3 linked regions of the Stegostoma tigrinum genome follow. The protein of the gene in region 2 interacts with the protein of the main gene of each other region in a biochemical or structural test. Links are inferred from orthologs where the notes say so. Each region holds a gene or a part of one and is shown on either strand. Other genes may lie near its edges.

The links.
Region 1: the proteins of rptor (region 2) and akt1s1 interact in a biophysical measurement, tested with the Homo sapiens proteins (2 studies listed by BioGRID and IntAct, with this or other methods). The link is inferred for Stegostoma tigrinum from reciprocal best matches to the Homo sapiens genes RPTOR and AKT1S1.
Region 3: of the proteins of rptor (region 2) and ribosomal protein S6 kinase beta-1, one has a biochemical effect on the other in vitro, tested with the Homo sapiens proteins (6 studies listed by BioGRID and IntAct, with this or other methods). The link is inferred for Stegostoma tigrinum from reciprocal best matches to the Homo sapiens genes RPTOR and RPS6KB1.

Annotation. Positions count from the first base shown.
Region 1 is NC_081391.1:21,799,623-21,806,920, forward strand, and holds the start of akt1s1 (proline-rich AKT1 substrate 1), read right to left. Parts: upstream 3,108-7,298; 5' UTR 3,081-3,107; coding exon 3,042-3,080; intron 1,396-3,041; exon of another isoform or gene 1-1,395. Other genes in the region: tbc1d17 (TBC1 domain family member 17), read left to right, coding at 4,361-4,399. UniProt on the Homo sapiens protein: Negative regulator of the mechanistic target of rapamycin complex 1 (mTORC1), an evolutionarily conserved central nutrient sensor that stimulates anabolic reactions and macromolecule biosynthesis to promote cellular biomass generation and growth.
Region 2 is NC_081375.1:14,204,165-14,211,249, forward strand, and holds the start of rptor (regulatory-associated protein of mTOR), read right to left. Parts: upstream 3,100-7,085; 5' UTR 2,690-3,099; coding exon 2,537-2,689; intron 1-2,536. UniProt on the Homo sapiens protein: Component of the mechanistic target of rapamycin complex 1 (mTORC1), an evolutionarily conserved central nutrient sensor that stimulates anabolic reactions and macromolecule biosynthesis to promote cellular biomass generation and growth.
Region 3 is NC_081380.1:42,724,076-42,731,681, reverse strand, and holds the start of ribosomal protein S6 kinase beta-1, read right to left. Parts: upstream 3,030-7,606; 5' UTR 2,914-3,029; coding exon 2,836-2,913; intron 2,589-2,835; exon of another isoform or gene 2,499-2,588; intron 2,380-2,498; exon of another isoform or gene 2,330-2,379; intron 1-2,329. UniProt on the Homo sapiens protein: Serine/threonine-protein kinase that acts downstream of mTOR signaling in response to growth factors and nutrients to promote cell proliferation, cell growth and cell cycle progression.

The sequences.
Region 1 (7,298 bases), on a different chromosome or scaffold from region 2:
TTATACTTTCTACATTCACATCCAATGTAGATCTGTGTTTTTAATCACATGAAACCAAGCCCCATCGCTGCCTTCTCAGTAACTCCTGAAAGAGCCCATCCCCACTTTTTCCCCAAGCAGTTATTATCACTCCCTGACCCTCTGTCCAAATATTTAGCCATTAAATCCAACATGCCAAAAAAAATTTGAACATTATCACTTTTGTGGGGTTTGTGTGAATAAATGCCAGATGCCTTTCCTTGCATTACAAGTGCAGCCACGCTTGCTGGGCAATTTACAGTCATTACAGGCACCACATTAAGGCCATTTTCTTAACTAATACCAGCCATCTAGGGATTCTACATACATCAACCCATTCCTGGTTAGCTCACCAAACTTAGTCAAGTCTACATTAAGCCATGATCTTCCTCTCCACAAAGACTGTTTTATTTTCAAACTTACCAAGCTATCTCTGTACACTGTTACAAATTCTCCTACTGTGCTTTTTGCTTCATTCTCTATCCATAAACGCAAGGCTATTATGGAACAGGAGCATGATGGAACACTCCCCAGTTTCCTGGATGAGTGTGGCTCCAATACTCAAACAGCTTGACGCCATCTCAGACAAAGTAGCTCCACTTGACTGGCATCCCATCTACTTCCTTCAACATGCACTCACCCCACCATTGATGTACAGCAACAGCAGTGCATACCGTCTACAAAAAGTGTACTGCAATAACACTCCGGTTCCTTAGGCAGTATCTTCCAAACCCATGACCTTTACCACTAAGAGAAACAAGGGCTGCAAGTACACAGAAACCTGCAAGTTCCCCTCTAAGCCACAGCCCATCCAACCTTGGAACTAGAGCACTGTTACTTCACTGCCACCAAATTAAAATCCTGGAATTCCTTAATGGCCCCAAGGATGCTCTAAACCTCATGATCTGCAATAGTGCAAAACAGCAGCTCCCCACCACCTAATGGGCAAGTAGGGATGGTCAATAAATGCTGACCTAGCCAATGTGCTCAGACTCCATGAACAAAAAGAAAGATTGCATAGTTTGGGAAAACTCCATCTTTAGCAGATCCCAAGTGTTCTACTACCCACAGGTTGCCTTCACAATGGCATAGACCAAGAGCACCTCTTTAGGAGTATATTTACATCGCACTGTCCTTTTGCTATAGCTCTTATAAACCCCTCACGACAACACCATTTACAAAATAAAATGGCTGCACAGTTTGTTTGGCAAGGTTCAAAAGAAGCCAGGAAGTCAAAACGGCTATTCAGAAAACAATAATACCCTTCAGTCTCAAAGGCGTCAACACATTTGGTACAAATCCACAATTCAGAAGTAATTATTAGGTGAGAACTGTAACATAAAAGTTCATCTACATAACCATGCCAAGACAACATTCTTCCAAATACTTAAAGTTCCGAATGCTCATGCCAGCCTTGGCTCTACGGGTGGCCGTGGTTGTGGGTTCAAATCCCAAAATCACAGACTAGAGAACACAGCTTTAGTTAAAACACTATGCAATTGAGAAAATTGCACTGTTGGCGATTGTTGCTATTCAGGAAAATATTGAACAAAGGCCACCAGCTATCCTCTGATGTAAAACTTTCATCACTCAAAAACAAAAGGGGTAAAAATAAGTTCTCTCTGGTGTCTTGATCATTAGTCACCCCTCAACTACCATCCCTAAGACAGATTATCTGTCTACTTGTACATTGTTGTTTCTGGGAACTTGCTGCGCACAAATTGGCTGTACTAGTATGCACATGATCACACAGACATCAAAAGTGGTTCAGTTGAGGATGCACTGAAAGCCACTACAGAAATGCACATTTTTGCTTAACTTCCAGAAAATTATTCAAGATACCAGAAGACCTTGCCTACCACACAGAAGGGCAAGTCTCTTTTACGTTCCCAGAGGAAAGGAGACATGACTTCAGGTTAACACCTTACACAAAACACAAGATTGCACCTCTGATAATAAGCTACTGCCTTAAGGCTGCACTCAAGTATCAGCAGAGGTCTCATGTTCAAGTCAGAATGTTGTAGTGGCTTCTAATTCACACAAGGAGGAGAAATACTTGGAATCATGCATCAGCTTTCAAGGTCTCCCAAAGAACTTTAAAACTAGATGCTATTGAAGCATGGCCATTGCTGTAACACAAGGGAAAACCACAATTAACTTAACAGCAAGCTCTGATATACGCAGTGATCAGATAACCCAGTTGAGGGCTAAACACTGGGCCAGTCATTAGTGATCCTAATGATGTTCAGCATAGTGCCATAGGAGCCATTACAGCTACTTGAAAGAGCAGATAGGGACAGGACTTAACTTAATATTGCATCCAAAAGATCCCTTCCAAAACTGCAGCAGGCCACAGAGCACAACTTCACTGAGGAAAGGCTTGATAAACAAAAATATTCACATTGAGGTAAGTTAGCAGCTCATACTGCAGAAATCTTCAAATGAGTGATGTTGAAAGCAAACCGAATACACACAAATGCAAGAACACAGTACAATGCCAATACAGAACACTAACTCAAGGCTGGTTAAGGATAACGACCTCCTGCAACACACGGTAACAATCCCCACCAACCCCCAAAACCAGTCAGATAGAGCCTTACAATCACCTCTCCCAAGAACCAGAGCACGGTCAGCTAGATCACTCCAAATACCTCGTCAAAAACTACAGCATGAAGTAGCTGATCACTACAAATACAGACACCTCCTGCAAAACCAGAACTCGGTCAGACAGATCCGAACAACACCTCCCCCAAAACCAGAGCATGGTCAGGCAGATTACACACTATAAACAGCCTCAGGTGCAGAAACAAAGCAAACAGCAGCAATGGGAGAAGCGTTGATAGACACCCCCACCCCCCCCAAAAAAACGAAGAGTGAATAAAGGGTCCTGAGGCAGCGTGCAGAGAGTTGTAAGCGTGGACAGCAGGTAGGAGATGAGAAGGGACAAGTAGAGGACGCAAGGAGGGCAGAAGAAGGAAGATTAATTCACAGGAGACCAGCTGAGAGCCCACCAAGCTCCTTACCGGTGTCTCCCTCCAACCTTCCCAGAGCCAGGCCCGCATGCGCACTGCGTCGCCTTCTTATGTCAGCACGTCACCGTCTACGTCCGATGTAAACGCTTTTGAAAAAAACTACCTTTTCTACTTAAGCTCATTGCCCACTAGTATATTGTTTCAGATGCCAAGTGACAACGATCGTGGGCATTTATATTTCAAAAAGGGAACGATTAAAAATTAATCGGTGTCCACGGACATACCCACGCATGCCACGCACAAACATGGCGACCGCCCCGAACAAACATGGCGGGAGTTTGTTTACTCCTTTCCTCGAGAATTTTTAAACATTCTGCGCCGTCAGTGTGCGCTCAACTCCACTCCATCGCGTCAAACTCAACGCCATCCCTCACCTCGAAAGGTGACTTGAAGGGAGCGAGGAGCGACCGCGTGACTGTTCCTGAGTACGGAGGTGGGGGTGAGCCCCGCATTAAGATGGCAGCCGGCCATAGAGCCACGCGCAACAAGTACTAAACTGCAGCTTCGGGGCCTGCAGCGACTGGGAGAACAAAAATACAAAGGGCGTCGAGTGTTCCACCAAAAAACCAGAGGGGAAGAGCATAAGGCTTTGAATCTAAGCACAAGCTCATCCTCCCCCGACAACACACCAGTTCCCCTCACAAAGATGGCGGCCGGGAGGGAGCCTTTTCTATAATTACGATTTTTACGTTGTTGTACCATGTAACATCTGAAAGAAAGAGGCAGAAATCAACCAAAATATTCAATGGATAATATTAGAGGATCCGCGCTTTTAGCGAGGTAGAAGGATAGCTTTGCACAAGATTACTCTCGTTGCTGGCACACTGCACCCTGTTTTTGAGATTAAATCCAGACTTGTCACAATAATTTATTAGCCCCGGGCAACATCCAAGTCATAAGACACTGACGTCAGCCAACGAGCTAAAATATGAGAGATAATAGGAATTGCTAAATATGACACTGAACTTGGAACTTTATTCACAAGCCCGACTCCTAAAGATAGGGCAGTGTTTAAAAAAAAGAGTTGGACAATGAAAACTTGGGATGATGCCATTGGTATCCTGACTAAACCCCTCCTCCTCCTCCCTAATAGTAGGAGAGTCAACTAACAACCAGTAAGAAATAAGCACCATCCGGAAGTGATGCAAGGGGATTTGTTTTGAGACGAGCTGAAATAAAATGATGGGATCATCTACAGAGAGTCACAAGGTAATAACTCATTTCTTATATCCTGTTGTGTAGTACAGTGATGTGGGATGATGTGTCCGTATGTCGAGAATCCTTACACCCTTTAATACAAAGTCATTAGAATGTGGTTTAAGATGTTGCCAGCAACAGAGAGCCACAAGGTAATAAATAGTTCCTAGCTCCTTATAGTACAGTGCATGCAATATGGGATGTGGTTATTTACAGAAGATTGTAAGGTGATATTTTGTTCCTTAAATCCTACAGTAGAACAGCACTTTCATATGGTGTGGGATGTTGTTTTCTATGGTGAGTTATAAGGCAGTAATTTGCTTTTATGCCTGTAGTTCAGGGATGCTGTACAGTGTGAATTGTAATAATGAAGAAAGAGTCACAAGATGGTAACAACTTATTCTTCATGTAGTGTAGAACAGGAGCACTATAGTGTTGGGAGGGATCACGTGAAGAGAATTATAGGGAAATATGTTCATTGTAATTCATGTGCTACGGTGAAGAGTGAGGTCACTTGCAGAGAGTTACAAAATATTCACTTGTTTGTTATATGCTGTAACAAGGTGATTTACCAGAGCACTGAGGAAGGCTATCACTTTGCAGATATTAACTCGTATATATTGTACTACAACAATATACAGAATCAATTATTAATTAAAATAATTATAAAATAAAAATTAAAATAATTATTATTAATCAAGGATTAATTCTATTTTTACTAATATTAGCACCAACTATAAATTTGTATGAAATAGGGTCAGTGTTTATATGGTTATAAGGTTTGCCACTTCCAGCATTTTTTTTGTGTGTATTGTATGTATTGGTAAGGATACCTGAATGAATAGTTAGAGAAAATGTTGACATGTGGATACCTGTAGTTAGAGTAGGAATTGGTTACATGTAGTTGCAATCTTAATATTAGTGACTATCAGTATATTTAATGGTGAGTTACATACGGAGGTAACACTTGTGGATGTCTCAGTATATAGTTCCTCTTGTGATTCTTGTCATCATGAAATGTTATTATTACTAATGATACAGTAGCATACACTGATACAGCAGCGTGCTGTTAGTAGGCCAGATACTTTGTAACAAAAATAAGGGGAAAATCAGCAAAAGGATGATTTGTAGACTGCTCTCTTGATTATATTGATTCCAGATCATAATTTTGTGAGCACGTGTGTCAGGTGGTCCCAGTTTGATTGCAGTTTATTATCTTGTGTATGTTCAGGAAATCCTTTTTTGTTTTTGACATAAGAGTGCATTTAACAAATATTCCAGAATTTTAATGAAGATCATGACAATCTGTTTCACTGAGAGCAGGAAATCTTGGCCTGCACTTAAAGGGTGTAAATTTGAATATTGGTCAATGAAAACAATATTTCACTAAGTGAGTGGTTGACCTTTCGAGCAGGGTCCCTAAGAGACAGTCAAAGCAGTTACTGTTGATTCATTCTGTTAGAAATAGAATGCACAAATCAGAAATATCCCTTTCAGAGTGTGAAAGAGTTTTTTTTTCATTTTCAAACTTCATTCAAGGGATGTGGGTATTGCTGGCTGGACCAGCATTTATTGTCCATCCTTGAGAGGATGGTAGTGAGCTGCCTTCCTGAATCATAGCAGTCCATTTGTTGAAAGTACACCAGAGTACCAAGAGGGAAAGAATTCCAGGATTTTGACCCAGTGACACTGAAGCTGTGGTGGTATATTTCCAAGTCAGGGTAGTGAGTTGCTTAGAGAGGCATGGGTGAGGGGGGAAGATCTTGCAGGTGGTGGTGCTGCAATGTATCTGCTGCCCTTGCCCTTCTCAATGGTAATAGTTGGGCATCTGGAAGGTGCTATCCAAAGAACCTTAGTAAGGAGCTGCAGTGCATCATATCAAGAGAAGGCCATGGCTAGCAAATAATTGGGGAGGAAATGAGCAAGTCAAACGTGAAAAGCCAGTGGACATGATTACTTGGATTTCCAGAAGGACTTCGACAAGGTGCCATGCAGGAGGGTGCTAAGTAAGAAAAGACCCCATAACGTTAGGGCCAAATTTCTGGCCTTGATAGGGGATTGCCTGACTGGCTGAAGGCAGAGAGCAGGGATAAAGGGATCTTTTTCAGGGTGGCAGCAGTGTCCCGTAGAGTTCGGCAAGTGTCAGTGTTGGGACCACAACTATTCGTGTTATACATTTTAACAATCTGGATGAAAGAACTGAGGATGTTGTTGCTAGCTTTCAGATGACTGAAAGATAGTGTTGAGGGAGGAGGGAGGCTAAGAATGACCTGGGCAGGCTAGGAGAGTGGATAAGGTGGCAGATGGAATACAATGTGGGAGGGTGTGAAGTTATGCACTTTGGTAGGAAAAATCGAAGCATAGACTATTTTCTAAATGAGGAAAGGCTTCAGAAATCTGAAGCACTAATGAACTTGGGAGTTCTAGTTCAGGATTCTGTCAAAGTTAACATGCAGGTTCAGTTAGGAAGGGAACTGTAATGTTTGTGGTCCCTTTTTTTTGGACTCCAGTAAATATGTTCTGCTAGGTGTGAAATGCCTGCTGAAAGGGACCTGCAATTCTTTTTCCTTTTGTGAAAACTTGCTCTATAAGGCACTTTGAACCAAACCTCATGTTCAAAATGGACATCCCATTCTGTGCATTAAATTGAAATCACATTTGATCTTATTTTCAAACCTGCGAGCTTCAATACCTGCAACTCTGCTGAGAGGCCAAATGTTTATTTCCACCCACTATTCCTTTCAGCAAGTCAATTGTATTTGTGCCCGCAGTGAAACCTGAGCATGTCTGTAAGGCTCGGAGGGTAAACGCACTATTCTCAGGGAAAGTGAGCAACTCAAGTCTGTGAAGATCCTTGCCTTCTGTTACCTGGCAATATGCAATTAGTTCGACCTCGGCTGGTACAGGAACACAGAAGTCAAAGTTGGTCTGGTATGTATTACGCCGGGGATGGAAAGAAAGTGCAGCGGGATCCTGATGAACATTGAGGATCCATCTTTATAGCTGGCTGGCGAGTATGGAATAGGCAAAGTGGCAACTGTCCCCATGGCT
Region 2 (7,085 bases):
CCCACCTACACCTCTCATGACCTTATACACTACTATAAGATTTCCCCCTTCAGTTTCCTATGCTCTAAAGAAAAAAAATCCTGGTTTGTTCAACCTCTTTCTATAACTCAATGCCTTGAGTCCTGGCAACATACTTATAAATTTCTTCTGCACTCCTTCCAGTTGAATAACACCGTTCCTAAATCAAGGTTATCAAAACTGAACACAATACTCCAACTGCAACATAACTTTCCAATTTCTATACTTAATGCCCTGATTGATGAAGGCCAATGTCCCAAAAGCCTTCTTCACTGCCCTGTCTACCTGTGACTCCACTTTCAGAGAATGATGCACCTGAACTCCAAGGACACTCTGTTACACTCCTTAAGACCCTACCATTTACAATGGTCCCCAGTTCAACTGCCCCAAATCTTCATGTCTTTCTCCACAGTAAACACAGTGGAGAAATGTTGAGGACCTCATCCATCTACTGCAGTTCCACACATACCTTTGGTCTTTGAGGGATCATATTCTCTCTCTAGTTATTGTATTTTCCTTTAATGTACTTAAAGAATCTCTTCGGATTCACCTTAATCTTCTCAGCCAAAGCTACCTCATCTTCCTTTTCACCATCCTCATTTCCTTCAGTAAACTCTGTATCCCCTATCTACCTCTAGGGATTCCCTTGATCCTTGCTGCTCATTCCTGAGCCATGCCTCCTTTTTTCTGGTCAAAGCCTAAATATCTCTTGTCATCCAGGATTCCCTACTCTTGCCAAACCATGCCCTTTACCCTCACAGGAACACACAGACCTTGAACTCTAGCTATCACGCTTTTAAAGGCCTCCCACTTGCCAGAGGTCCCTTCACCTGCAACAAACTACTCCAATCAACTCCTGCAAGCTCCTGCATAATTCCATCAAAACTCGCCTTGCCCCAATTTTGAACTTGACCCTGTGGACCAGTTTTGTCCTTCTCCATAGCTATTTTAAAATTGACAGAATTATGGACACTGGTCCCAAAGTGCTCTCCCACTGTCACTTCAGTCACCTGCCCTGCCCTGCCCTATTTCACAACAGTTGGTCGAGTTCTGCCCTTCCAAGTAGGGCCCTCTACATACTACTTGAGGAAACTTTCCTGAGTGCACCCCATCTAAATCCTTAATACTACGGCAGTCCCAATCTACATTAGGAAAATTAAAATCCCCCACTACGATGACCCTACTGTTCCTGCAAGTCACCCCAGTCTCCTTGCATATTTCTTCCTAATTCCCAATCAACTATTTGGGGGGGCCTATAGTACAACCCCATTAATGTCACCATCTCCTTATTTCTTAGCTCCAAAGCCTCACTAGATGATCCCTCAGTTATTTCATCTGACTACTGCTGTGAAACACCCCCTCCCCACTTTCCAAAAGCACCTACACCCTGGCACATTAAGCCGCCAGTCCTGTCCCTCCCTCAGCCATGTTTCTTAATGGCTATAGTATCCCAGCTCCACATACCTATCCACATCAAGTTCATCGGCCTTATCTGTCAGCCCTCTTGCATTGAAACAGTTACAAACTAATCCATCAGGCAACCCTCGCTCTGTCCTGTTCCAGCCAGACCTGTCTCTTGAACGTGCTATTTCTGACTCCCCTATCTCTTCCCAGCCTCAACTTGATTCCCTATTGAGGATCCCACCCTTTTGCCAATCTAGTTTAAAGGCATATATCCATTATTTAATTCCAGCATCAAATAATGAAGTTTCCAAACAAAATTTAATAACATCTAAGACTTTTACAGTATGACACCTCCAATTAATCTGCATTTAGAATCATCTAACTTTACTCTCCAAGGTTTGCAAACTTATCAATTACATTGTTGGTCAGGGATGTTAAAGTAATACTTTTGCCTAAAACTACCAGAATCTTGTTTAAAACACTGATAGCCATGAGAAATATGTAGATTCAGCAACCACAGTGTCAAAAACCATTTTAAAAATTGTTTTAAATACCAAGTACTTGACTCAAGAGTTACATGCTGGAAATGTACTTTACTCTTCGTTTAAAAACGTGAAGTGAATTCGAAGCATTGCTTAAAAGGTTATTTCCTGACAAATGTGTCGCTGGTGATAAATTCTACAAAACTGTACTTATGCTTCCACATGGGTTCTTTGGAATTTAATTACGCCTCCTGTTCAAAGATCAGGCATAATCCATATTTAACAAAGCAAGACGAAATGCTGTAACGATTGTGCAAAATACAAAGGTTTGCGTTTAGAGTTAAAGCAGCATTTTATATGGTAGAGTTTAATGGCAAAAAGTTGTGGCAATTTCGGGCAATGGAGTAAATAAACTTTTGAAAACCATAACGCTCGTGTTTCCTTTTGCTCACTGAAAGCAAACCCATGCGGAGAGGAATGGGAAGTTTTATTGCGAGCTGCACAGAAACTTTTTTGTTAAATGGAATGGGATGAGGATGGACGAAGGCAGCCCCAGGGAAGGTGTAGCGAGCGAGGGCGTTTGAATGTAACCTCCAGGCAGGTCAGGGAGACAGAGAGAAGGGGGAATTTACCCGGTCTTTCATGCGCCAGCTCTGGGTGACCGCCTTGGATCCCTCGATTTTCTCCGAGTGCCGCTTCTTTACGAAAGCCACCGGGAGGTTCCAGTCGGTCATGTCGCCCTGCTCCTCCTCCAGCAGGTCCTCCAGGAGGCTGGCTCCAGCCATGCTGCGGCCCGGCTCCACTCAGTACAACCAGAGTCTGACACCTCTCCCCCTTCCCCCCCCCCCTCAACCACCTCCACCTCAGGAGAAGGGGGGGGTGATGGAAAGAGCAAGTGGAGGGGGAAGTGAGGGGGGGAAAAGGGGTGGTGAAAGCTGACAGCGAGACGCAGTCTATTCGGACAAGGAGGTACCGGTGCCGGTACGGCCGCCTCGAAATCCCGGTCGGCGGCCCCTCATTCCGCCCGAACGGAGGACGCCATCTTGGTCGAGGCCACAATGCCCCGCGCCCCTACGGCGAGCCGCGCGGCTCCATCCGCGCAGTCGCAACCGGTCTCAGGCTGGAAGTGTGTTTTTTATGTTGCCTCATGTATGTGCTCCGTCCTCTCAGTCTAACAGACTGGACTCAGTCTTTCATACTGACTCTTCTCAATCTTTCACTCTGACTGTGTTCTCGATGCTTCAAAAATACAGACTGCCAGAAAAACTCAGCGGGTCTGGCGGTTTCTGTGGAGAGAAATCAGAGTTTTCAGTTCAAGAGACCCTTCTTCAACTTGACGGTGGACTACAATCTGATTGTGTTCTCAATCCTTCAAACTGACTGTCCTCTCAATCCTTCACCCTGGCAATCTTTTACCCTGATTGTATTCAAAATCTTTCACCTCGATTGTGTTCTCACACATTTAATCTGACTGTATTTTCAATCTTTCAACTTGACTGTTCTCTAAATTCCCCACCCTGACTGTATTCTCATCAGTGATAATGGGAACTGCAGATGCTGGAGAATCCAAGATGTAAAATGTGAGGCTGGATGAACGAAACGTCAGCTTTTGTATTCTCATCATTCAACTTGAACGTTTTCTCAATCTTCAACCTGACTGTGTTCGAAATCCTTCAGCCTGACTATCTTTCTTCTCTTCTATACCTAGCATATTATTTCTTAACCTGTGAAAAATAATACTTGTTCAAAAACGTTTTTATGCATTTTACTCATCCACACTGGATCTGAACTCCAGAGGTGAGGTAAGACCCTGGCATTAAGGCAGCAGTTGACAAAGTGTGATATTTAGGAGTCCCAACAAAGTTAGAGTCAATTAGAAACAAGAGGGAACCGCTGCGCTGACTGGTGACATGTTTTATGCAAAGGAAAATGGTTGCGGTTGATAGAACTCAGTCATCTCAGCTATAAGACTCTCTGCAGGATTTGATACTACAGTGTGAAAAACACAAAGGCCAAGTGGTGTACAGCATCATCTTGCAAAATAGCAATGGTTAAATAATCTGTTCTGGTGATGTAGCTTGAAGGATAAATATTGGCCAGAAAACAAAGAGAACGGCCCCACTCCTTTTTCAATAATGCTGCGGGAGCTAGCATTAGTTTAACATTACAGAATTAAGGTGGTATGTCCAACACCCTTGGTACTATCTCAGTGCAACATCTAGTGTGTCGGTGAAGGTAATGTGCTCAAGTCTCTAGAGCCAGATTTCATCCCCACAACTCAGGTGAGAATGTACCCACTGAGACAAGAATGACTTTTCACATCTCTCATCTGTCATTCAACTTTTGAAATACCTTTGCTTAATGTCCCATGCAATTTTAATTTTATTTTACACCTTAGTTTTCTTCTAATTTGTTTAGCTGAAAATCAGATAGGCAAGCCAAACCTGCTTAGAATTTTAATCTTTCTGTCCCTTTAATGATAACATATCAGTAACTCATCCATCCATAACAAGTTGAGCTAAGCAGAGTTACTCATACTATTGAGGACTGAATTGAGATATGTGAACATAAAATAAAAAGCGGAAAACAAAAGATAAGACTGAGCCTTTAACATAAGCTATGATTGTGTGACTTGGAGATACAATATAAACTAATAAGAGGGATCTTCGGGATTGACATCAGAAGGTATTTCTACATGCAGAGTGATCAATACTCGGCATCATTTCTTGAGTAGGGTCAAAAAGCCAAACATCTGAAATCATTCAAGAGATAGTCAGATGCAGTCATGGATGAACCATGATCTTTTTAAAAAATTAGCTAGACAAGCCAACTGACAGTCTTTGTCACCTCTTTGTGAAGATCAACTTGCTTTAAGAAGTAAAATCACCTGTAAAAATTTAATGATGTAACCCTTTCTTTTCACAATAAGTCATATCAAACTTAGGTATTTTCAATCATGAGGCACAGATATGTGGCACTCAGCGCTACAAAAACAAAATCGGCTAAAACAGGAAGTTGTGTACATTAACTGAATCAATCCACAGGAGTTGGCTAAGTAGTGCTAATATGTCCTCTACATCTTAACCTTGTTCTTTCATCTTTGACCTCTTTTCCTGTCCTTTCCTTTCTTAGGAACATAGGAGCAGGAGTAGACTATTAGCCCACTGAGTTTGTTTTTACCCTAACACTAACCCTAATCCACCATTCAATTAGATCATGGCTAATCATCTACCTCAGCGCCACGTTCTCACACTACCTTCATATCCTTTGATGTTGGTAGTCTCCAGAAATGTATTGATTTCTAACTTGAATATGCTCAAAGAATGAATTTCCACAACCCTCTGAGGAAAAGAATTCCTAAGAACTTCTTTCGCATTGCAGTCCTAATTGATTATTATTCTGTAACTTTGCCACATGGTCTAGACTCACCAGCCAGAGGAAACTTCCCTCTTATATCTACCCTGTAAGAATTTTCTGAGTTTTAGTAAGAACACCTCTCATTCTTTGATATTCTATGGGATACAAGACCAGCTTCCTCATTGTCTCTTAAAAAAAGAATCCCACATCCTAAGGATTAGTCTGGTGAATATCCTCTGCATTCTGTCTGTAGCAAATACGTCCCTCCTTAAATAAGGAGAACATAAACTGCATGCAATATCCCAGACTCAGTCCCACCAATGTTGTACACAATTGTAGCAACATCTTTTTCTCCTGTGTTCAAGTCTTCTTGTGATTAAGGCTGTCATACCGTTTGCTTTCCTAATTAACTCATATTTTCATAGTTGTTTACAGATCAGAAGGAGGCCATTCATCCCATCATGTCCACACTGGTCAACAATCCCGTTTTCCAGCATTTGGTCCAAAACCACGAAGGCTATTGCAACGTGAGTGAATACCTAAATATTGCTTAAATATTACCATAGATACAGTTGCTGGCTACACCTGCTTTCAATAACTCATGAACAAGTACAGCAGGTCCCTTTGGACATCAAAACTTTCCAACCCCTTACCTTTTAAAACAAATACTCTTTCTTTCTGTTTTTCTTCCAAAGTGAATAGCTTCACACTTATTCACATTACATTCCAACTAGTAGTTATGAATGGAGCCTTAATTAAGATTGGATACTATGGACAGATATAAGACAGTGAACAGAATCATTTGTATGAACTAAACCCGGACAGTAGAACAAGGAGGAACATGTGCATCTTGCCAATTGCAGTTCTTTACACAAGGATGATTAATTGTACTTTAGTTTGTGAGCGAAAGGTGTTGGAGTATAATGTAAGCAAAATCTCTGGAATCTGAAGATATGATTGGGTGCTGTGATAGAGAGGATTTTTTTTTCTTGCTGGATGGACAGTACAGCCATCCTCATCAGTATCTATCTTGTGAGCTGCCAATTGTCCATAACATTTAAGCAAGCAGGCATTTTTAACTCCTGGCAAGTGAAAGCAATTACCTCAGCAATTATTTTTTCTGATTTTAAACTACGAACAACCTACGACTCTATCACAGCAACCAGTCATTTAAAGAAGAAGCAGTTACCTACAAATATATCACTGCCCACAAGCTTCACAAAGAAAGGTTCAGTACATTTGCAACAGATTCTTTGGGATGAAGCTACAACCCTGAAACATTTAAATTTGACAGTCATACATAAGGTGTAGGAAATTTATCTTTCCAGTTGTGATTACTGAATCACAGGCAAATGTCAAGACAGAGGCAGTTCATTTACATTTTGATCAAGCCAATCCATCTCAAGAACATATCAAAGATTGATCTTCTAAACTAGACTCATAAATCTTTGAATTTTTGACTCTAAAATTTGCCATGTGATTTTTCAGATATAATTTTGGTAATGTTCCATTAATTTCCATCTTTTTACAATCCTATTTCCTTTCGCTTTTTCTTATTTTAGAAAGTGAAGTAGCTACACAGAGGTTGGTATCTGGTCGCCAAGCCACCCTTCATTTGCACATGAACAGTCCATGACTTTAGTGCTGCTTTATTCAGAGTCAGATACTAGAGAGTCAGTATCTCTGACATTCACCCAACTAACTGTCAGCCAGGACTCTCTGACTGGACCAGATTCGCAGCACCAATCAGAGAACTCATATTCTGTGAGATCATTGCAGAAGAAAGTATATGTGAGGCAGAATTTTTAGAATAAAATAGACTCC
Region 3 (7,606 bases), on a different chromosome or scaffold from region 2:
AGAAATGGGGACACTCTCTGATTGCACAATGGTCAGTACTTGCAACTCTTCAAATGGTCCATATCCAAATGTAACAAGATCTGAATAATATCAAGGCTTGGGCTGAAAAGTGCCAAATAACATTCACATCACACAAGTACCAGGCAACATCTCTTTTTGGAGAGAGTCAATCTAATCACCGTTCCTTGACATTCAAAGGCATTGCTGAATCAATCACTATCAATGTCCCTGGGGTCGCCATTGACCAGAAACTGAATTACTCTAGCCATATAAATACGGTGGGTACAACAGCAGGTTAAATGAAGGCCAGGAATACTGAAACGCTGTGTGAATTGGTGAAGTACTTGCATCTCGAGTGTGATAGAACATCTCCAGTTGTCTGAATGAATGAAGCGCCAAAATCACTCAAGAAGCTTCATTCTATACAGGACAAAAGTTTTTTTGCAGGGCGGGAGTACAGTTGTAAAGGTTATAATATCTTGAAAATTCCAAATCACAATTTAATGCTAATAGCCAAACCCAAAATATTACATAAATTTATCAGACACCAAAAATACCTCCAGATATTCACCAGTATGTGCCTCAAATAGGTGGAAGTTTCAGTGTAAACTGTCATCCATGCTGCCAACAGGGCCAGATTCAGCCACGTTCACAACTTTCATGCAAATAATGGCAAGAACTAAGATTCCGTCTAGTAAATTGCACTCAAGCACAAATCAGCACCTTCAGAAGAACTTGCAAGGCAGCTAAAACTAACCTTTGCACAAAATGTCTGCAGATATGGATAGCAGAGAGCCCGAATTTCAAACGCATGCCTCTAAACAAATTTCTCTACCAAATCAAAATCTGGCTTGAGAAATATTCATTCTACAACAATAGTAACTTTGCATTGAAAGAAAGCAAAACTTTGCAGAGAATTATCCTCAAAGAAGGAAACTTCCTATAACTTTGTAATTGAAACCAGATTTACTCAGTCATTAAACCATTCCCAAAATACAGTATGAAAAACAGTACAGTTATAGGCAGAGTTTGCCAGGGTACTGGCAAAATAAAACTATTAAAACAAAGCACTAAACGCTGAGCAAGAACAGTCAGGGGCAACAGACTGTACATTTATTTCTCCTTCAAAAGCATGTGGCACCGGCTCAATACCTTGAAACAGTGAAATAGAATTAGGAACTCACCATGCAAGCAATCACAGGTACATTATCAGTTGCACATAAATAGCCACATTTGTGGATATTTTGCACTGCGTTCACATAATATAGACAGGATGGCAAAAGAAACAGAAATGACACGGGGAAAACCATTTTTACACATTAGATGGTTAGGGCATCCAGAATGCACTGCATGAGCCATGTGGCAGAGGCACTTTTAAACGTGGATTTCTAAAAGTTAAACCTGGATAGTTATTTGAAAACATCTGTAGGGCTCTAGTTTAAAAAAGGCTGGGGAATGGGACTAATGGGGATCCGTTTGCAAAAAGCCAACATGGATACAAAAGAGCAAACTGGGTCCTCCCAAGCTGCAACTGCACCATGATACTATAAATCACACTGGGGTCAGACAGTGCTCACCTTTCTCCAAACTAAATGCCATGCCGCATGACAAGTCAGTTGTCCTAAGTATCACAAATGTTATCTTTTACCAGATAAAACTTACAATGGATTTAGAAGAATTAGCACAACACTTACTCAATTGTTCTGTTCTCAGACAGAATACATTGATTCATGAAAAAAGGAGTAGATGTACTGTCCAGGTATACCAGAATTAACATTTCTACTCCACATATTCTCCTAACAGCTCATTCAGCTGCGACACATACAAGTTTTAATATAGGCACAAAAAGTATGTTTCAGGTGTCAGTAATTCAGAAGCTAGTTTGTCAGTTGCAGTTGATAGACAACTCTAATTTTAAACTGGAGTATACTCAGGGAAGGGGTAACGTGGTCAGCCTCGACAGCAATTTTCTCCTTTCTCGAGCCAAGGGGAAATCACAGACCTCGGGCAGGTGCAACCAACAATGCCACGTTGCGAGTACAGTAAGATGTTTCGCTACTGAGAAAGCGTTTCTTCAACAAAATGCTGCATAGATTTCTCCAAATGCAGCAAGGGGAGAGAAGGAAAGGCTGTACTGAAGAGGGCCAGAATCTCATACGTAATTAAAAAAAAATCTTCCGCGTTTGTGGACCCTCAGCTGGGCTGGAAACATGCGTACACCTTCGTGAATTTTATCCCGTGTTACTATATCGCATTCAGGAAAAGGCAGTCAGGCGCGGGTTGTTTGTGCAGTCTATAGGGTTTATTTCATGGTTTGATCTATCCGCACCTGTCACTCTCCCTGGGTTCAGCCGCTTCCTTTCCTCGAGCTCCAAGGAGTTACTGCCACGAGCGGGGCATGGAGCGGGCGAGCGGGGCATGGAGCGGGCGAGCGGGGCATGGAGCGAGCGAGCGAGCGGGCGGGCATGGAGCGGGCGGGGCAGCGCGAGGCAGCTGTCGCGAACTCCAGGCGTTTGGTTCCCCACCTGCCAAGGAGCGGGGACGTTCCGAGCGCACCGTACTGCAACAGCTCCTCCCTACTATAACAGGTAGGCCTACATCCTTCTTTAAAGCCGCTCTTCACACCCCCCAGTCCGGGCCTCAATCTCCCTCTCGGGCCATTTACTGTTGCTGGGAAGGGAGTGAGCGTGAAGTGGTCCCTTGTCAGGATTTCCCTCCCTCCCCTCCGGCCTACTCCACAGGCCTCGCCTTCCCCTGAGGCAGCGACAACACCGGGTTCTCCTCTGCCTCACTGCCCCCACCCAACCGCCCGCCGCGCCAATTCCCTTTCTTTACCCCTTCCAGCTCCTCGTCCGAAACGGCTTCTTCCTGCTGGTACTCGGGGTCCAAGTCGATGTCGAACACCCCGGCCATGTCTCCCGCTCGTATTCGCTCTCGCTCGCTCGCTCCGTGCGTCGCTCTCTCGTTTCCCCCCTCCCCGGCTTCGCTCCCTCATGGGTTCCACTCGCCCACCATCACTGCCGACGCATGCGCGGCCCGCGGGTTGAGGAGAGCGCTCCTGCTGGCCGGCTCTCTCTCTCTCCACCCCCTCCCCTCCCGAGGGAGCAGGCGTGCGCGTGCCCTACGTACGGGTTGTGGTAAAAGGGAGTGGCGAGCATGCGCAGTTTCGATCAGCCCCCGCTTGGCGCAGACCCCTGTCAGAGCCAGCAGAGGTGAGTGCTGCGCAGGAGCAACCCAGCTGTGTTTCAAGTCTGTCAGATTTGATTGACATTGAAGTGCCTTGGAGCACCGTGGTAGTGTCCCTACCTCAGAGGCAGGAGTCACAGGTTCAAGTCTCGCCTGTCACCAGAAGTTAGAAGTGTTCTAACCTCTGAGAGGTTGATCAGAAAATATTCTGACAGGCCTTGAAATCCAACTCCATTACAGGTTAATCTCTCCCCTGAGCTAAGGTTTCTGATAGCCACCTTTTCAAATGTGCGTTCTTAGCGAAGGCAAAGAGGTTAAAAGGGCTAGGAATTCTGAAAATAAGCGTTACTGGCTGGAGCTACGTTTCCTCTTCACAGGTGCTGCCAGACCTGGTGAGTTTTCCTAGCAATTTCTAGTTGTGGCATGAGCATAGAAGATCCTCCCAATCTGTGTGGACAAAGTTCCTGATTGCTGACACCACACGATCCGCTCCTGCTTGAGTAAGCAGGTGCCTGGTTTCCAGAAGTTCTTAGCGTGGCACGAACTTGGGACACATATTCCTCCACCAGCAGTAGTGCTATTACAGTGAACTGTCACCAGATTGAGCTCTGAAACTTTCTAAATGTGATATTCCCACTAAGGGGTGGGGAATGTAGGAGGTAGCCTTGCTGATACTTCCTCTGAAGCCCTGGAACTCTCCTCTGAGATCAACTAATGGTTTCTGGCAGAGTAGACCATTTCTCTGCCAGGGTCTCAGACATCCCACTGGTACCTACAAGAACAAGGAAGAGAAAATCTTGAAGCCAGTGGTTTGAAGTGGTATGTAATGAATTGCACTGACAGCAGAGTTAGTGTGAAATAAACAACAGCATGAATGTCACAGCATCTCTGCAGGAGTGGTGCTGGTCAATTCTGTCCTTGGGGCTGAGGAACCTCATGTCAGGCACCTGTTCACATATCTAAGGCTTTGCGCTAGTGGGTAGCATGGCTGTTAGTGCTGGTGCTAGTGGTCAAAAGGTGCTGTGGCATCTTGGGCAAATGAGTAGGCACTGCAGAAGCCATGAAGGGTTAGTGACATGGAAGGTTGGGATTGCGTGGGGTTGGGGGGAAACAGGAATCAGTGAGGGGTTGGAGACAATAGTGAAAGTGTTAGAGCATGAGCCTGGATGTGAGGTGGGTGCAATAACAGAGATAGAGAGAGTGAATGTGAGGTAACAGAAAGAAGAATGTGGCACAAAAACAAAGTTGCGACAAAAGCTCAGCAGGTCTGGCAGCATCTGTGAAGGAAAAAAGCGGTGTTAACGTTTCGGGTCCGGTGACCCTTCCCCCTCAACAGATGCTGCCAAACCTGCTCAGCTTTTCCAGCAACCTTGTTTTTGTTCCTGATTTACAGCATCTGCAGTTTTTTCGGTTTTTAGAAGAATGTGGCACTTACCCTGAAGGTGCAGAGAAGACCTTGTGAATAGCTGGCTATTCCTCTGGATCGTGGAGACCACGCAAACCTTTGTGGAAACCTTAGACAAGGTTCCATGGTGTGGTCTCCTCTGCCAGTCTCCTGGCAATAGGACACCTTACCACTGGCCCATGCCAATGAATACAACTTCCAGATCTCCATTGGAGAACCACTGCGAGTTGTCTCTTTTCTGACCTCTTTGCACGTTCTTCTGGGAATGGCACGTGCTAAGCTAGAGTTATGTGAGAACAGCTTCAGAGTGGTGATGTAGCTAATTATTGAGGTGAATTTGGTGTAATATGGTGAGAGATTTCACTTTGCCTTGTGGCAAGAAATCCTCCAAAACATGTGATGAAACTGACAGCCGAAAAAGCATAAAATTCACCCTGAGATAACATGGTGTGAAGCTGGATGAACACAGCAGGCCAAGCAGCATCAGAGGAGTAGGAAAATTGACATTTCAGGTCAAGACCCTTCTTCAGAAATGTGGGAGGGGAAGGTGATTCTGAAATAAATAGGGAGGGGGGAGGCGGATAGAAGATGGATAAAGGAGAAGATAGGGTGAGAGGAGACAGACTGGTCAAAGAGGTGGGGTTAGAGCCAGCGAAGGTGAATGTAGGTGGGGAGTTACAGAGGGATGTGTCAGTCCAGAGAGGACAGATAGGTCAAGGAGGTGGGATGAGGTTAGTGGGTAGGAGATGGGGTTGGGGCTTGAGGTGGGAGGAATGGTTAAGGAGGCAGGGACGAGCTGGTCTAGTTTTGGGATGAGATCAGGGGAGGGGAGATTTTGAAGCTTGTGAAGTCCACATTGATACCCTTGGGCTGCAGGGTTCCCAAGCGAAATATGAGATGGTGTTCCTACATTTTTCGGGTGGCATCATCGTGACAATGTGGGAGGCCCAGGATGGACATGTCATCTGAAGAGTTTGGGGGGGGCGCAGTTGAAATGGTTTGCGTCTGGGAGATGTAATTGTTTGTTGCGAGCTGAGCGTAGGTGTTCCGCAAAGCAGTCCCCAAGCCTCCGCTTGGTTTCCCTGATGTAGCGGAGGTCACAACGGGAACAGCGGATACAGTATATCACATTAACAGATCAGCAGGTGAACATCTTTTGATGTGTGGTCTTATTAAGGCCTGGGATGGGGGTGAGGTGGGAGATATAGGTGCAGGTGTAGCACTTGCTTCAGTTGCAGGGAAAGGTGCCAGGGGTGGTGGGGCTGGAGGACAGTGTGGAGCAGACAAGGGAGTCATGGAGAGAGTGGTCCCTCCGAAAAGCACGTAAGGGTGGGGAGGGAAAAATGTCTTTGATAGTGGGGTCAGATTGCAGATGGTGGAAATGTCGGAGGATGATGTGTTGGATTTGGAGGTTGGTGGAGTGGTACATGAGGACAAGGGGGATTCTATTTTGGTTATTATTGTGGATAGGGGGTGTGAGGGATGAGTTGTGGGACATGCGGGAGACACAGTCAAGGGCATTTTCAATCACTGTGGAGGGGAAGCTGCAGTCCTTGAAAAAAGAGGACATCTGGGGTGTTCGGGACTGGAATGCCTCATCTCCAGATGTGGCGGAGGTGAAGGAATTGGGAATAGGGGATGGCCTTTTAACAGGAGGGTGGGTGAGACGAGTATTCTAGGTAGTTGTGGGAGTCGGTGGGCTTAAAATGGATATCGGTTTCCAGGTGGATGCCAGAGGTGGAGACAGAGAGGTTCAGGAAGGTGTCAGAGATGGTCCAGGTAAACCTAAGGTTGGGGTGGAAGGTGTTAGTGAAGTGGCTGAACTGTTCGAGCTCCTCATGGGAACACAAGGCGGCGCCGAAACAGTCATCAATGTAACGGAGGAAGAGATGGGGGATAGGGCCTGTGTAGCTTTAGAACAGAGTTTGTTCCACATATCCTACAAAGAGGCAGGCATAGTTTGGGCCCATGCGGGTACCCATGACCACTCCCTTTGTTGGAAGTGGGAGGAATTACAGGAGAAGTTATTGAGGGTGAGAACAAGTTTGGCTAAGCAGATGAGGGTGTCACTGGAGGGGGACTGGTCGGCCCTGCGGGACAGGAAGAAGCGGAGGGCCTTTAGGCCATCTGCATGGGGAATGCACGTGTATGGGGACTGGATGTCTGTGGTAAAGATGAGGTGTTGGAGACCTGAGAATTGGAAGTTCTGGAGGAGGTGAAGGGCGTGGGTGGTGTCACGCATGTAGGTAGGGAGTCCTGGACCGAGGGGGAGAAAATGGAGTCGAGATAGGTGGAGGTAAGTTTGGTGGGGCAGGAGCAGGCGGAGACAATGGGTCAACTAGGGCAGTCAGGTTTGTGGATTTTGGGAAGGAGATAGAAGCGGGCAGTGCGGGATTGGGGAATGATGAGGTTGGAGGCTGTGGGTGGAAGGTCACCTGAGGTGATGAGGTTGTGGATGGTTTGGGAGATGATGGTTTGGTGCTCAGGGGTGGGATCATGATCAAGGGTGCGGGAGGAGGAGGTGTCGGAGAGTTGGAGCCTGGCCTTGGCAATGTAGAGGTCAGTGCTCTATACCACTACTGTGCCTCCCTTGTCTATGGTGAGGTCGGGATTGGAGCGGAGGGAGTGAAGGGCTACACGTTCTGTGGGGGAGAGGTTGGAGTGCGTGAGGGGTTGGAGAGTTTGAGGCGATCAATACCTCACAACAATTAGAGATGAAGAGGTCAAGGGAGGGTAGGAGGCCTTGGGGTGGTGTCCAGTAGGAAGGGGTGCGTTGGAGGCAGGAGAAGGGGGTCAGTGGAGCGAGGGTTAGGCTTACAGTTAAAGAAATAAGCACGGAGGCGGAGGTGGCAGAAAACTGCTCAATGTCCAAACGAGAGTTGTATTCGTCGATGTGTGGGTGGAGGGGGAAAAAGATGAGTCCTTTATTGAGGACTGCCTGTTTGTCCTCGGTAATGGGGAGGTCTGGGGTGATGATGAAGACTCGGCAGGGCTGGGTGTTATTGTCTTGTCTGG